Linked DNA regions of Caenorhabditis elegans. The protein of the gene in region 1 interacts with the protein of each later gene in a pairwise test. Each region holds a gene or a part of one and is shown on either strand. Other genes may lie near its edges.

Evidence for each region.
Region 2: the proteins of nhr-31 (region 1) and C50F4.1 interact in a two-hybrid assay, tested with the Caenorhabditis elegans proteins (one large-scale study listed by BioGRID).
Region 3: the proteins of nhr-31 (region 1) and taf-9 interact in a two-hybrid assay, tested with the Caenorhabditis elegans proteins (one large-scale study listed by BioGRID).

What each region holds. Positions count from the first base shown.
Region 1 is NC_003282.8:8,023,489-8,031,079, forward strand, and holds the start of nhr-31 (Nuclear hormone receptor family member nhr-31), read right to left. Parts: upstream 6,026-7,591; 5' UTR 5,935-6,025; coding exon 5,828-5,934; intron 5,170-5,827; exon of another isoform or gene 5,023-5,169; intron 2,550-5,022; coding exon 2,272-2,549; intron 2,189-2,271; coding exon 2,034-2,188; intron 1,758-2,033; coding exon 1,276-1,757; intron 1,176-1,275; coding exon 902-1,175; intron 857-901; coding exon 683-856; intron 483-682; coding exon 333-482; intron 1-332. UniProt on the Caenorhabditis elegans protein: Orphan nuclear receptor.
Region 2 is NC_003283.11:9,525,048-9,529,760, forward strand, and holds C50F4.1 (CHK kinase-like domain-containing protein), read left to right. Parts: upstream 1-1,745; 5' UTR 1,746-1,797; coding exon 1,798-1,899; intron 1,900-2,762; coding exon 2,763-3,383; intron 3,384-3,472; coding exon 3,473-3,562; intron 3,563-3,631; coding exon 3,632-3,741; intron 3,742-3,922; coding exon 3,923-4,088; 3' UTR 4,089-4,203; downstream 4,204-4,713.
Region 3 is NC_003281.10:13,622,355-13,626,517, forward strand, and holds taf-9 (Transcription initiation factor TFIID subunit 9), read left to right. Parts: upstream 1-1,921; 5' UTR 1,922-1,929; coding exon 1,930-2,073; intron 2,074-2,128; coding exon 2,129-2,412; intron 2,413-3,426; coding exon 3,427-3,550; 3' UTR 3,551-3,653; downstream 3,654-4,163. Other genes in the region: mlc-5 (Myosin-2 essential light chain), read left to right, coding at 969-1,046, 1,095-1,231, 1,282-1,388, 1,504-1,610; T12D8.5 (uncharacterized protein), read right to left, coding at 3,678-3,971, 4,014-4,062, 4,110-4,163.

The DNA of each region.
Region 1 (7,591 bases):
ACATATGGAAGGAGTTTCTTGGGCTCGACCACTTTAGTCTTAACTTGAAACGGTGTTAATAATAGAAATAGAAATTCCCAAGAAAAAAATGTTAAGAGACTTGGAGCGAGTTAGCAAAAATAGGTACCGATTTGTATAAAAGAAAAATCGATAATAGTCACAGCCTCTATCTGAGCTTTTTTGAACGTTTTTCAAACTTCTTGTATATTCTTAAGAATATGTTTGTGTAAAACGCATTGAAGCTAGTTCCCTCAATTTAGAATCTTTACTATCCAAGAAAGTTTCAACATATTTTCCCTCAAATTCCATAAATATTTTCAAACTTCTCTCACCATTGGAGGAGAGTATCCAGCATTAAGCATGGAGCTACATGAATTTGAATGTGGAAGATATGGTCCAGATGATAACAAATCATCATTTGTCTGTGTTGCCACATCTACCCTTCTCACGAATCTTCGATCAGACATTGGCGGTGAGATACTCTGCAAACAAACAAGAAATTAGATTTTTGCACACTCTTATCATTGCCATTTATCAGTTGGTAGTTGGCAAATTTCAACTTTCAATTCTCCGAGAAACTCCGAAATTTTATAGTTTTAATGAGTTTATAGTTTTAATGACAATTAAAAGAAAAAGATAATGATATAAAGTTTGATCTTTCAGTCATTTTTAGTGAACTGACCTCTAAACAAATTTCAGCTGGATTCTCGAATAGTGGTGGGCTAATGCTGCTGCTGATAAGTTGATCATCAAATGTTCTATCTCCAAACATTTCAGCTAACAAGTTATCTCCACTTGCACGTCCTCCAAGAGCTTGACAGAAATGCATGTTTTCAGACATCAATCCGGAAAGAGTCTGAAATGTTTTGAAATAGAGAATGCAACAGTAATGACGACTAACAGTAATTGTTGGCAGAAGAAGCAACAAGTTTCCAAATCGGCTGCTTGCAGAATAGATTGGATGAAGCTCCTTGACAATTTGGAAAAGCATATCTTGAACTTTATCTCTCAACTCAGAAATCGCGTGCCTCGCATGCTCGGATAGTCCTTTTGCATTTGGATTTAAAATAATAATTGCTTTTAATGGAACAATTTCTTCTTCTTTCAGATTTAATTTTCTCAATGGAGCCACCAATTCATTTAACGTTCGATCAATCAGGAAGTTTGAGAGATGACTGAATAAATCAAATTAATTTTCTTTAATTTTAAATAGTATTTTTCATATATTTTTATTGCGTTGATAAAAATTGGAATTAAATTAAAATTCCAACTTACTTTGTCTCATTAAACTCTGGAGGCAATCTTCTTGGAACAAATGAATGACTGCAAAGACACAAAATATCCGGATTCTTCGTATTCTGAGCAGTTCTCGCAGAGAAATTGAAAATAGTTAACGGCGAGTAACAACTTTTAACCAATGCAACTTTATCTTCAGTATCAACTGCATCCGCAATTTCAGTTAATGAATCAACCCAATCAACAGCTGCAATTGCTCTTCTATGAGCAATTACTCCAAGTTCTTCAGTTCTTGCCATTCGAAATGGTTCATAACCAATTTCCATCCGTCGACCATCTAATGCAGGTTTTGATTCAAACATTTCCCGTAATGAAATACTTTTTGGATCTTTTGCAGTGTTTTGTGCACTCATATTATTATCTCCTTTTACTACTTTATCCTCAATACTCATCAATTGCATTAATAAAATTCGAGTCTCGACAGGAAGTTTTCGTGACCAATCATCTCCTTGTAACCGCATCTGAAAATTTCAAGTATTAATTTATACATCATTCATGTATAGTGTAAGTTATTCTGGATTTTATCAACAACACAAACTAAATTTTAACTGTTTGAATATGCATAAACATTTTTCACTCGATTATTCCAGAACAAATAGAAAACATCACAAAAAACACTCAAATCATTTTGAGATTTTCCATAATTTTATGTCAAGTTTTTGTGAATTGTCAAATTTTTGGAAATTTTAAATTTGCCACCAGTTTTTTTTCAGTGTATCTACATTTTCAAAACATACCATATGATTTAAAAGCTCCTCATCAATTTGCTTCTTCTTAATTCTTGGAACTTTCTGTTTTCCTGTCTGATCCCTATCCGGCCTGACTGCTTTTGGATCCATTCCTGCTTGAATACAACGTTGAAATCTGCAGTATCGGCAACTATTTCGCTGGACTGAAAACCGAAACTTCAGGTATTTTCTTGATTATAAAGATACTCAGTCAAGTATATTCGAATTTATTCTTTAAAAAACTTACATTTATCAACAATACAATTATTTGAGAATCTGCATGCATATCGATATTTTCCAGTCAGTGTTCTTCTAAAGAATCCTTTACATCCATAACATGCAAGTACTCCATAATGTAATTTTGCAATTCCGTCACCACAAACAGCACAAACTGAATCTCCATTCTGTGATCCACCACTAGAAACTGTGGGTTGCTTGTCACTGGGCCTGATGATATATGACGTGGCGGGACCACTTGATGACGTGGCACCGCTTGTCCTTAAATCTCCTCGCATCATTGGAACTCTGGAAATTTTAAAGTTAAAAGATCGGGAAAATTAGTTTCAAACACAAAAATAATAAAATTTAAAAACTAGAGTGTGTCCTTGAAATTTTGATTTCTTGATCTTCCCACAATAATTTGTGTCTTGGAAAATACAACGTTTTTTGGTGAAGACGGAATTACATTTTTCAAGTGATTAAACTTTCAAAAGAGTATTATATTTGATACGGTTTTTTCAGTTTCAAAATTGCAAAATTTTGTGTGTGGAAGCGGAATTGAAAGTCGATAGGCACTTTTTTGTTATTGTAAAAATTCATTGCTTAATCGGAGCTAAATGTGCAAAGTTTTCTAGCCAAAAGGCATTTAAGAATCCAATTAAAAAATCATTGGAACAGTGACCAATTCCATTGATGATAAAAAAAATTCATAATTTCAATTTGTTGCAAACTATCAAAGTTCACACATCAAAAAGACCAAAAAGTTCCACGTGGAAAAACTGACGTATTTGGGGGAATACCTATGGGGCGGTGTCTCTCTATGATAATATTACAAAATGGGGGAAATTAAGTGGGAGTGACATTGAAATAAAAGGAGATGAAGGAGGAGAAGACGACGACGATTTACTGATAACAAGGCGAAAGAGACACTGATTTGAAATAAAGAAGAAGAAGAATACAAAACAGAAGACGCTTGAGAGGATGAAGAGAAAATGAAAACATAAAGATTAGATGTCACTAAGGTTTTGAACAAATAGTAAATAATTTGTTTAAAACATTTTAACACCTGTAACTTTATTTTAGAACAGTATTTAAGCTTGTTTTTCACATCAATTACTTGTTTTTTAAATCAATTACACCAGTACAAAATAATTTTTTGTTGATAAACTACTTGTATATTTGAAAAAATGCACTCCCAAAAACATTATTTTCTCAATTAATCTTGCTCAACTTTGGCACCTGATATCTTGGCTATTTTCGATTGAATCAATTTAAAATCAACTGGCAGCAGATGTATTATTAATTTTTCTATAGTTTCAAAGCTTAACTTTTTTTTTGTTGAAACGAACGGAGGTATATACTTTCACAGTAAAATAGTCCGAGTTTTTGAAGTTTCATAAGCGTTTTTGAAGAATTATCATGCCAGATTTCGAACAGTTCCTAGTTAGGAACTATACTGACCAAAAGAGACTGTCGAGAAAATAAGAACCAAAGGAAGAGAGATAGTAATGGAAAAAAGAGAATCGAAGAAAAGAAACGAGAGAAAAATATGAGGTGGTTCGTGTCCGAAATCTCGACCTCCGAACAAGGCAAGTAAACAGGCGCGAACCTTTCCTCAAAGCACGCACACAATGATGATTTCCGCTTCGTTTATCCGCACAGAATTTTTTTTCTTCATTTTACAAGAATTTATTACCTATCAATCTTATAACCCTTGTCCCCCTGTAGGCTTGCCAGACTTGCCAATCACTTTCTAGGTCATTCTACTAGAGGAGGGAAAGGTGATAAAGATACATGAAACACAGACGAGAAACGGATGATGTCAGTAATAAATTAGAGATAGCTTTTAGCATAGGATGCCTATATTCTCCAATCAAACACTTAAATCTTCTTTCTGTTTATCCTTAATTCTAAATTAAAAATCAACGATTCGAATCAGTAAATGTATGATGTCATATTTATATCAAGACGTGCAGACTAATTGGGCTAATTGGATGTATTGCCTTTTTGTAAAGATATATTAGAAGATCAAATGATAGAGCCTCTGACTACAAGGATCCAAAATGTCACCAAAATAAATAAAATCGTAATGCTTTTTGTCTATCGAATTTTTTTACGGGTCTCATAAAATTGGAGGAGGCATTTGGAGATAAGATAACTTGTATCAATTGTTGTTTACAGCTGAATAAGGAAAAGGTTATTGGATAGGATAGGGGAAGTTAACATATACTAGTTTATCTATAAGTAGATGCTGAATTGTGATCTAGAATCAAAGCTGGATTATATTTTAAAATACTTTAATTATCCTGTTTAAGCTTTGCACACGAACAAACTACTAACTAGAGATTTTTTCAAATTCAAATATTTTATACTAAAAGTAAAAACCCGCAAAAATTATTTTTCGAATCGAGTAGAGAATACTTTTAGCTATTAACCTTGTGGAGTGAATACTAAACTGTCTTTCTGAAAACTTCTAAGAATATAATCAAAATTGAATCTCAAAAGAAACTTCTCACTAAATTAAGTGATCTTCTTCAACCGAAGAACACATCTGACTCATATGAACCGATGCAGTTCGTCTCGGTTTCTTGTAGCAAATTCCTTTTATCAATCACAATCATATCTTTCTTCATTCATTCAAATTGATCGATTACCGTCCTTGAACCCTTTTATTTTACTTTTTCTCAATTTCCATGTAAACCATTCCTCAAGTAGCATTCAAATCACAAAGATCATTCACCTATCCCTTTTTATCGCAATTTGATCATTCTTCGCGCGCATCTTGTCACGTGCCTCTTCACTCATTTCCACGCCAAATTTCAAAGTTTCCACGTGGCAGGGTTACTACTAAAGTGGCAAGACAGTAGTATTTACGATCGACGCGCTTTTACAAAGTATGTGTGAGATGGTGGTGATCAGAGGTAGTAGTGCCATTGATAAAATTGCAAATTATTATCACAAAAATGGTTGTTGCGTCGTGGCGGGGCAAGAATAAGATAACAAAGGGGAGACTCTGTCCTATACAAAAGGGAATTAGAATTAAAATGCAAATAGAACACGTACTTGCAGCTTCTTGAAAACTATCTAATGGCTCTAATGAGTTGAGATAATTGCTCAAAAGTTCATTTAAATCATTGTCAATTGATCTGAAAACGTCAGAAGATCAGCGATTGATTGCCAAAATGTCGTAATTTCTTTGAAACTATCAAATGCTTTGATATCAGAATAGATGTAAAAGTTTAAGGCCTGAAGGGATTTTGTATCACATTGACTTTGAATAAATTTAGATTTAGCATTAAATGGGGTTTCAAGTAAATCTTTTCTTTTCAATTTTCAATGTTTTTATCAAAGAGCCACTAGAGCTATATATTTGAGATAAAATTTTTTGGCGGCTTCGGTAAACAAAATTTTTTGAAAATTATTTATCTCACAAGTTCAAAAAATTAAAGAAAAAACTATGAAATGATCTCCAACTGATCAATTGAGCAAATAAATCTTAATAATTTGATATTAATTCTCAAAAAAGTTAGGGTTATGATGCAAGTTCAAATGCACAGAAAAGTTATAATAATCGATTTACTAACCTTTCAACTTTCACAACTCTTGTACCAGGTCTTATTGCATAAGTTGGTTCTTCTTCAAGATATTCATCACCCCAATACTCCCAATCTTCGACATCAAGTTGTTCCATTTTAACAGATGGTGCTGCAAACGGCAGCGTCGATATGGGAAAAATTTTGAATTAATTGAAATTAAAATTCGTGTTCTTCTATTTGTTGTTGCTGGAAAAAAGTATATATAAATGTATACATATTAAAGCAACGGATTTCAGAAAAATAAACGGTGAAAATGAAAGAAAAAGGGACGGTAATTGTGGTCGGAAGGTGGACAGGAGGATAGACGGACGGACAGGATGGATAGACGGTCAGGCGGATTATTAAACGGGTTTAGGTTTCATTTGTATATATAAATATATGAATGTGTTTAGATGAAAATATATATGAAAACGGAAAGAAATTAAACGGTCAATGTATTGAGGTGTCGGGTTATCACATCTTTTAATGAGATTTTGAACGTAATTTCTCTGTAATTAAGAAAATTCAATTTTAAATAAAATTATCTCCAGAAATAGAAAATTACTTATTTGACTAGATTCTACATAGTTTGTTTTAAAACCTTTCTTTAATAATAAAATATTATTTACATCCCGTAATTTATATATGGATTCCTTTTACCTTTCTCTAAGTGAATTAAAGTTAAGAAAAAAAATCGAACGGTCAGTTTAATGTGTACTACCTCTTGTACGTCCAAGTGGATCATTTCAAAAACATTGTTAAGTTCTAATCAAATATTGATAAAGTTAGGTAACGACTCAACCAGTCGCACTTTTCTTATTTTTATTTGATTTATTGGAGAAAGAAACGAGAGTAGGTTTCCATTTATTATCTATTTCTCGTTTTTCTAAATTAATATTTTCATTTTAGAATTTAAGAATTAGCTTCTGATAATAGTTCATGTCCCCCTTACAAATCAGAGTCTAACGTGGCAGCAGCCAAAAATTTGTGATTGATGATAACGAGTGACGGTGGCGGAGAAGGACGCAAAAAAAGTTTGCCAAGCCAATTCAGCAAGCTGGCACACCACCGATTATTGTTCTGATAACTGAAAAAAACCACGTGTGAAGAAGAGGAGCTGCCAAGAGATTAAGGATTGTTTAGTGGACATTTTAAATTTAGAAATCCTTTTTTGAAATTTGGAAAAATATGAATAAATGAAGCTTGAAGATTCAACAAAATTTATGTTATCAATAACCAAACATTGTTATGTTTTCTTCAAATGTTCTAAACTTTTGGTAATTCTCGGAGTTGGACCAATTCAAACAATATACAATTCAAAACTATTTTGGAACCATCCAGAATACTATGGAATTAACATGAAATAGAAACATAAACGTGTAAGTTATGTAAATGAAAATATGGAATAACCGAAACTTGTTAAAAATGCAAAATGACGGAGCGGATTGGTGAAAAGAAATACGGAGAGGATTATGAAAATGTATATGGCTACTAGATTATACAGTACTTTGAACTATTCGTAGATCATTTCAGCTCTATGACGACCACAACGATTGTCCGATTGTTCTTTTCAGATTTTTGAACTTTTAAGCGAAAAAAATTGAATTTTAAAAGTTATAATGTAAAGAATACACATTAATATGAGTCGAACTCTTGGAGATTATAGAAAATATTTAAAATTCTTAATAAAAGTTGAATAGACTTTCTGACTTTACTTGATTTAATCAAACTGTTCTTCGATAATAAATTGGCACAAACTGATAATAACCTGCC
Region 2 (4,713 bases), on another chromosome or scaffold:
GTTCGTGATGCACAAAAATTGTTTTGACTTGTTGAGTGGGAGGAGAAGGAAATGGGTTGACGTATTGAGTCAGTTGAGTGTCATGAAGCATTTTTAAAATGCTAGAAAGGGAGTGGCTAAAATCAAACAATCGGATGGGTCAAATGATGCGTGACTTTTTGATTAACAGGCTGGAAATTCTACCGAGTTAAGCACTTTTTCATGATAAGTCTGAAATCATTCACATTTCAAAGTCGCACTTCTTAAAGTTCCTAAAAATACTAGATATATTTTTAGATGGCAACTTTTTTTCTGAAATATTCAGAATAAAAAATATTCAATGCGGCATCAAAAATAGTTTTAAAGGAAGATTACTTAGTATCAATTTATGAGTGATTTAATACTATAAAACAAACAGAAACTCTTATTTACCACTTACAAAAGGGAAGAGATTATGAACTGATATTGATAAAACAAGAGTTGCCTCGATTTGGAAAAAAACAACTTTTTTTCAGTTTCTTAACAAAACAATACGAAAAAGAAATTCAGATGAAGTTTTTGTTCATAAGATTTTTTTTTAAGACAGCGTTATATCGAATCAATATTTTTGGTTTTCTAAAAAAAATAATTTTAATTGGATCGAAAGTTAAATTATTGTTTTGTATTTTTATTGTTCTGCACAACGCAACAAAAAGAGAAACAACATTTAATGGAAAATAAAATGCATCAAAAAGTAATGCTCTCAATTATGGCTCATTTTGAAGGCGTTCGTCAACTCAACCGGAGCAAGGATGAAATGGGCTATTGAAAGAACATTAAAGTACGCACGAAAACAAAACGTTAATTCGAAAATAGGTATTTATGAAAATGATTTTTTTCAATTCTATACGGATGAAAACAATAATTTAAATGTGTCCTGAGGTTATTGTTTTCAAATTTCCTTAAAATTAATTTTGGAATTATTTTTAGAGTTTAGGAAATCACATGTAAAATGGAAAGGCCTCAATTCTGAACTTTTGAACTTTTTTGCGCGGGGTAAAAAATTAGCGCGGATTTACCCAACGAAAAATTTCAAGGATTTTCCAAATTATAAGCTTACAAACCGTTACACAAACAACATTACGATTCAAAATAATTATTCCAGTATAAATTGAATATAAACCTAGCTCAAAATTCGCCAAATTATTACTGATTTGATAATAATATTAGCCAGTAAGATTGAAACCAGAAACAAATATGAAAGAAGATTTCAAACTCGATTACATGAAGCAAGCCTAGAGAGAAAATATCGCAATTTTTCTGAAAACTTAATGTGATACATGTAGTGCCAACTTGGCAGATGTCCTATATGTCTTCGAACGTGAACTTTAAATTTTAAATTCGTCTTCATTTCAGCCACCCACTAGTTTGATATCCGATATCCTACGTCCAGAATTGTGCCGCCCACTTCATAATTTTCGGATAAATATCAGTTTCAAATGGTTACCACATTAGCAAAGTACCTACCACCTATGATCTTCGTTCAAAATTTCAGCTCGTGACTCACTCCCTCTTCTTTTTCATTGCTATAAAATGTGTTTGCAAATGTTATTTGCTCTACGAAACACAAAATATGCAAGTATTGTCGTCGCCCATCATCAAAGTCATAAACGGGACAGTGTCATTAGTTTCGATTCTCTTCGCTTTTTTCTCCCGCATTTTTTATCACTGATAACAAGACCTCGTCCACCTGCTCCCTCTCCTCCCTTTTTTCTTTGCATTTTCAGAAGAAGGACATATCAGTGTTGGCATTGTTGGTTGATTCACAGAGAAGTTATTATGTTCATCACTGCATTAATTGCAAAGGAACTTGGATTGTCTCGAGTTAAAGAACTTAATCCTACTGTCACTATCAATGGTGTCACAACCGTGGAGTTAGAGGTAACTTTATAAATTAGTTCATAGTTGAAAACTCATATATTAAACCAATAGGAACTATTTGAGGGCATTGCAAAAATCTCAAAAACTTTTAACTCAAAATTTAAATGTACTACAGATATCAAGTACTATAAAATTATTGTAACTCCTATTACTGTTAGTTTTTTTAATGGCTCAAATTTTAAAAGGATTTTGCAAATTTTTTAAATATTGCAAATATGATGCCAAAATCGTATACGTTACATTGTCGACTCTCTTAATCTGACTATTATTTTCAACGATTAGAAAAAACCGTCAACGCTAGATTAAGATATTTTTAGACAATTTTTAATGTTTAATTTCAAAAATTTTCGAAAATGTTGCTTGTGAAATTATCTTTGAACTTCACTTTTAAAGGTGCTAGTACGAATTACTTTCCAATGTTTTGTCTTCGTACAAAGCTTTCATGTTTTTTAATTCCATATTACCTCTTTAAAATTAATACTTCATGTTTGTGTTTTTGGATGGAGTGTATTATATTGGGAGTTAAATGAGCACAAAGATTATTCCGGTTATAAGGAAATTTCGTTCAAGTCGTTTCATTTTCTAATGACGTTTTTTGTGGAAATTTTTAACTGCCTGTTTTACTGATAAGAAAACGGAAATATTGTTAAATAAACAAGTTTTTCAAAATTGAACTCAATACGGTTGAAACAAAAAAAAATAATTAAAATATTGGAAGTATAGTATTAGGATTAGATTTAAACTTTCTACGAAATTGTTCCAAATTCGAAAGAAATGTGCCAAAATGTGATACTGAATGACCTTTGAATGAGGCCAATTTCTTTCTCCCGCCCTTCTAGAATATCATCGTTTTCTGGTTTTAGACAGCGGAGGGCCTCTTCCGAGTGCATTTGGTGAGAGATGATCAAGATGTTATAGTGAAACTAGAGGAAGGAAGCAAGCTTGCCGCCTACTACAATTCACTTTTCTGGCATGAGATATCAACGTTTGAGAAGATTCCTATTCCAAGTGCACATTTTAATCGATCGTTTGTTGTGACGGAAGATGAAAACAAACATTCTGTCTATGTTACTCAATTTTTGAAGAAAGGAAGTGTTCGTACCAAATTGGGATTACCAGAATTGGAACAAGTTGCCTCACAGATTGCAAAGTTACACGCTGTCAACTCAAAAACTATCAATAAACAATTCTCACTCAATGTGCAAGAAAATTATGGAAACATCATATCATTCAAAAAGAAAATTCAAAAAGAATTGATTGAAGTGTTGGAAACAGCAGTAACTACTACAGAAGTTGCAGACTACTTCATGAATCCATCCTCAGTTATTGAAAAAGTTGGAATTTTGACTCATTACTTGGAAGATTGGAAAGATGAAGATGCAGATGAAAAGGAAAAACATAATGTTATCGCACATGGAAGATTGACAGCTGAGATTTGCAGATTTGATGAGGATGGGAATTTGGTAGAGATCACAGAATGGGAAGTACGTAATTATTTTTAAAATAGAAAAAACTGCGTTCTACTATAATTTTTACTTTTGATCTTTCAACAACGAAAACCTAATTAATTTAGAACATTCATCTTGGAAATCCAGTGGAGGATTTAGCAAATTTGATTGTTTCATCTGCAGATGTCGACATTCGACGAAAAAAGTTCATGAAAGTGGGTTCGAGAGTCTTATGGGAACGGCAGAGCACCAGATGTTTTTGATGTAATTTGTTTTAATTTTAGATATTTCAAGTCTATTTTTATGCACTTGTTGACTATTACCCACCAAAGTATCAACTGCATGATTTGAAAAGATGGTTCCAGGAATATCAACCTACAGTTCTAATCAATGGGTGAGTTTAGGTTTCAAATTTTCAAATGTTTTAAAAGACCAAAAAGTTGTCGTACTTTTGATATTTTTTATAAAATAGTGTTTTACCGGATTTTCAAGAAAATAATTTTTCAAGGCATTTTAGGTTGCCCCAAATTTTCAGAACACTAGTCCCATTAAATAAAATTTCTAATCATTTCCAGAATCGAGTCTCTACTTTTTACACTGAGTGAAGGTTCGGATGACGTCAAACAAGATGCTGCACGTCGATGGGAGACAGCGTTGAATGATACTGTAGATTTCTTGACTGGAAACTACATTTCGGATAATGAGCACCCATTTCTCTCACAAAAAGAGAATGATGATTGAAGAATAAGATAACGTATTTGCTTTTTTTTTCAAAGAATCGAGAATAAATGACCGAATTCAAAAATAAAGATTGGTCGTTTTTTCTTGGTGACGAATGAATAAATCTTCAATACAAGAACGGAAAGATGCATCTCTTGACAACGTAGATATACGGACGACAAAATAATAAATGTATGACGTGTGAGAAAACACTTGAAGCTTGCTTAAAAAAGGGATTGGGTGTCTTCGAGAAAATCAGAACATTTCTTTCAAATTAAATTATGTAAGAAGATGTTCATATTACAATATATAAATAGCAATATACTATTTATAAATTATATTGTAAATAGATATTAATTACTTAATTTATTTATTTACGCTCGCGAAGAGACGTGGAAAAAGTTGAAGAAAAAAGAAAAATGTACACATAATAGATCATAAATACAATACACTGAATAAGAGGGATAGAAACAAGAAGAATAAATAGGAACGAAAGTTTGTTAACAGGACAGTTAGGTCAGGCGGGAGGAGATAATGTTATGTGGGTAGTTCATGAATCATCAGTTGTCAGACATCTCGTTATTCAAGATCTGATATATGTTTTAGAAACTTGGGGCTACTCAGCGTACGGTTTACAATAAAATGC
Region 3 (4,163 bases), on another chromosome or scaffold:
ATGCCGCCAGAGGTGTTCCGACTACGCAAAGAGGGGATTTAAAGTGAAAAATAGATAAATACCTGATAATTTAGATCAAAAAATTAGAATAACGCCTTTTAAACCAAAAAACTCCTTTGAATTATCGAAAATTCTAGAAATTCTCGAGAAAAATAAATTTCAAAACAGGCATATTCTGTGCATTTGCGCGTGGGATCTAGCGCCCGTTGTGCATTGCGCCATGGCATTTGAAATTGGCGCCCGAAAATTTTTTGTTTTATATCAATTTTTTGGCTTATCGATAATTATCCTTGAAATTCTGCAGAAAAATAGATTTTTCTGTAAAATTTCGCAGGAATTGTATTCAGCACGTAATGTGCATGGTTTCCGTGGCAACTTGGGCGCTCTTTGCTTCTCTGTGCTCTATGCTCATGCCGCAACTCGAAAATTCGAATTTTAATTCTAATTGCCCTCTGTTAACCCTCTTTTTCCCGCCGGATAACCTCCAAACTATTGGTATCTTGTCGATGAATCGGTGAGAAAAAGTTCCGAACAACAAGAATTCGGGATGTTGTTCTTCCTCGCGTCTCCACCATCTCCACACACTCTCACGCGGTTGAACGGACAGTCAGGACACCGCCGCGCGGGGAAACTGCCCGTTTTGGTCGTCTCTTCTGCTGTGTGTGTCTACTATTCAAATAAACTCGCCAATCGATCGCCATTTCAGTTCATGTGCGGTGAATAATGTGTTGTGAAACTCGTTTTTCTCGGGAAATAGCCGAGAAAGGCTGAATTTTTGCTTGAGAATTTCTGGAAGGCATGAAATGTTTTCAGCTCTCTTCGAAAATCTTCTACCGCCCACCCATTTTCCTCCCGAATTGTTTCGTCCCCGTGACTCATTCTCTCTTTTATCGCCAACTTCTCACTCACTGATAATCGATTTTCGTTTTCATCCCGTCTTCTCAATTTTCCAATTTCAGCTGTGAGAAATGGACGATTTGGCTGATTGTCGTGAGGTTTTCGCCTATTTTGACAGCAAAGGCGACGAGCGAATCTCTGTTCAGCAGGTTTTTAATTCAATATTTTACTTTTTTAATCCAAAATTCATATTTCAGGTCGGTGATGTGCTCCGCGCGCTCGGCCAGAACCCAACAGAAGCCGAAATTCACAAATGTGTCGGCTCGTTCGATCGGGAAGCTCGGCTTTCATTCGAGGACTTTGTCCCAATTTTCCAGTCGGTGTCCAAGAATCGGTTCGTGGCGAATTTTCAGTTAATAAATTTCAATTTCTACATAATTTCAGTGAAAAGCACACCGTTGAGGAGTTCGTCGAGGGGTTGTCGCATTTCGACAAGGAGGGAAACGGAATGATCAATGTCGCAGAGCTCCGACACTTGCTCACCACTCTTGGTAGGATTTTGAGTGAATATTATCAAAAAATTAATATATAAGTAGCTTTTCAAAAATGTTCTGCTGGTCTATACAATTTTAAAGTTTACCCCAATTTTATCAATTTTTTTTCAAGGAGAACGCCTATCCGATGAAGACGTCGATCAATTGCTCTCCGGACACAACGATTCTCACGGAAACGTCAATATCTCGGATTTCGTACGCGCTGTCATGAACTCCTAAAAAATAATCGAATTCAGCTGATGTAAATATATCATTTCCATTAATTTCCTCGGCATTTTCCACACAATCTATTTATTTATCGACTTTTTTGCATCCGTTAATTCTATTTCTTATTCGCTCTCTCCCAGTTCACCAAAAAAAACTTGCAACGATTCAGTGAACAACTTTGTATCCTCCGTGTTTTAAGATGAATTTTTCTAAATTTTAATTCTAATTTCATAATTTTTGTATTTCGTGTTACATCTCACATGATATTTCTGTATTTCCTCTCCGTTATTTTTGTGGGGAAATCCATATAATTGCATTTTCAGAAAGAAAAATGGCAGATACAGGAGAAAAAGACACAGAAACGACGGCAAGTGGTACCGATGGACACAGTAAAGAGGCGCTTGCTGTAATAAGCATGCTCCACGAGTGTGGAATTCAAGAGTTTGATCCACGCGTCGTTTCAATGCTTATGGATGTGAGAAAATACAAAATTGAGCTCTAAAAATTCAAAAAATAATGATTTTTTCCAGGTTCAATACGCAGTGACGTCAAAAATCCTCCAAATGTCAAGTGGACTGTCCAGGCATGCTGAAAAAGCGCAAATCGAGGCAGAAGACGTTCAAACGGCGGCCGACATGCTCGGCGTTCTGACCACAAACGCTCCGGACCGTGAGAAGATTCTGCAATTGGCGAATGACAAAAATCAGCAGCCCCTACCGCAAATTCGACACAATTATGGCCTGAAGCTGCCCAACGATCGATTCTGTCAATTACAGCAGAATTTTGTGTACAAAGCTGACGACAGTTATCAGCCGTACGTTTTTTTTCTCGATATATCTTGAAAAATCTGTAAAAATTTGATTTTAAACGGAAAGAAGGTATTTTAAAGTGGAGTACGACCAGTGGGGAAACTATTAAAAACCATTCCTATGGTTCAAAAATGACAAAATAACAATAAAAACTCACAATAGAACTTTTAAAAAAATTATGATACTTTTCCTTTTTTACACCGCATTTTTAAATGAATATTCAAAACATTGAATTATTCAAATTTAATTCTCACGTGAATCATTTTCAGGCTTATGGGGTTATTCAAGTAATGTAGCAAAATGTATTTAAATACATTTGTGACGTCACAAATGTATTTAAATACATGTTTTTATATACTTGAATACAGTTGTGACGTAATTAATCTACACTTTTTAATTTTCCGACACTACTTGAATAACCCCATTAGAAAACAAAATTACAGAAAAAGTTCACATTTTTATCCAAGAAAATGTTCCAGAAAAATGCGGGGTAGAAAAGGAAAAGTACCAAATTTATAGAAGATTTTTTGTTTCAAGTAAAAAAAGGTGTTGTTTGGAGCCACCTTTCGAGAAATCGAAAACACTTTCGCATTTTCGTGCCCCCAAAATAATTAAATATGAATGCATAAGACATGGAATAAGTTTTTTTTAATCGATAACTTCCAAAAACATTTGTTAAAAACTAAGTTTTCACCGCTTTTTGAGCCGAAATATAAATTTTTTCCGAAATTTTCATTCTAAAAATTTACAGAAATTCTATATTTAAACTTGTCGATTTTCAATGCTTTTTGTGGCTACTGTCAGTTTCATTTGAAAAATATTGATTCAAATTTGCATTTTCATCTCAAAAATTGTTTTTTCGAATCAAAAATACAAAACCTTGACACAAAACTAAAAGTCACATATTTTCCGACAATATTCCATTTAGTTATTGTTTTTAAATCTTTATGGCATGCGTTTTTTTTTTCTGTAGTAAAATGAAATTATACATATCAAATTCAAAATTTTCAAGTTTTCAGAATGGAAATGCAACAAGTCACCCATCAGCCACATATCATCGAACCACCAACACAAGTGCTACGGCCGGAGCATGTACAGAATATGCTCAAGCGAAGAGCTCCAGACGATGATTTTGACTCATAACTTTTTAATTTTGTTTTTTTTATGCCATTTTCTACTTTATCTAATCAATCCTGCCAATGATCTCTATGAAACCCAGATTTTTATTTATAAAATTCAAAAATTTACACAATTACAATTCAAAAACAATTCAATTATCCCCTCCACCTGTCACCGCATTTTTCAGCTCACTCGTCGACTCGACAATTTTGTTGGCTGCCATTTTCAAATGATCGTAACGGCTAGCCTTACGCATTGGCGGAACCTGACCAGCTTCCATGTACGTTTCGGGTGCGATTTCCGGAGCATCCACGTGTTTATTGTGCTCGGCGAGCAACTGCTCAGCTCGGTCGATCTCCTGTTTCAAAAGCTCGACGCGTTCTTTGTTGGATTGCGTCTCGCTTTCGATTCGGCATTGCTCCTTGCAGAGGTCGTATTCGGAGAGCTTCAATATATCCAAGTTTTTGGCTAAAAATTCAAATCCTACCTGCTTCTGGGGCGGCACCACCTTCTGCACGTAGATAACCTTCTGTGCCCTGAAAAATCGATAAAGATGGAAAAATCAACCAATAAACTGGCTCACTTTGGTTTTTTCGACTCTCCGAGGCTACATACGGCTAGCAGAAAAACTGCGAGA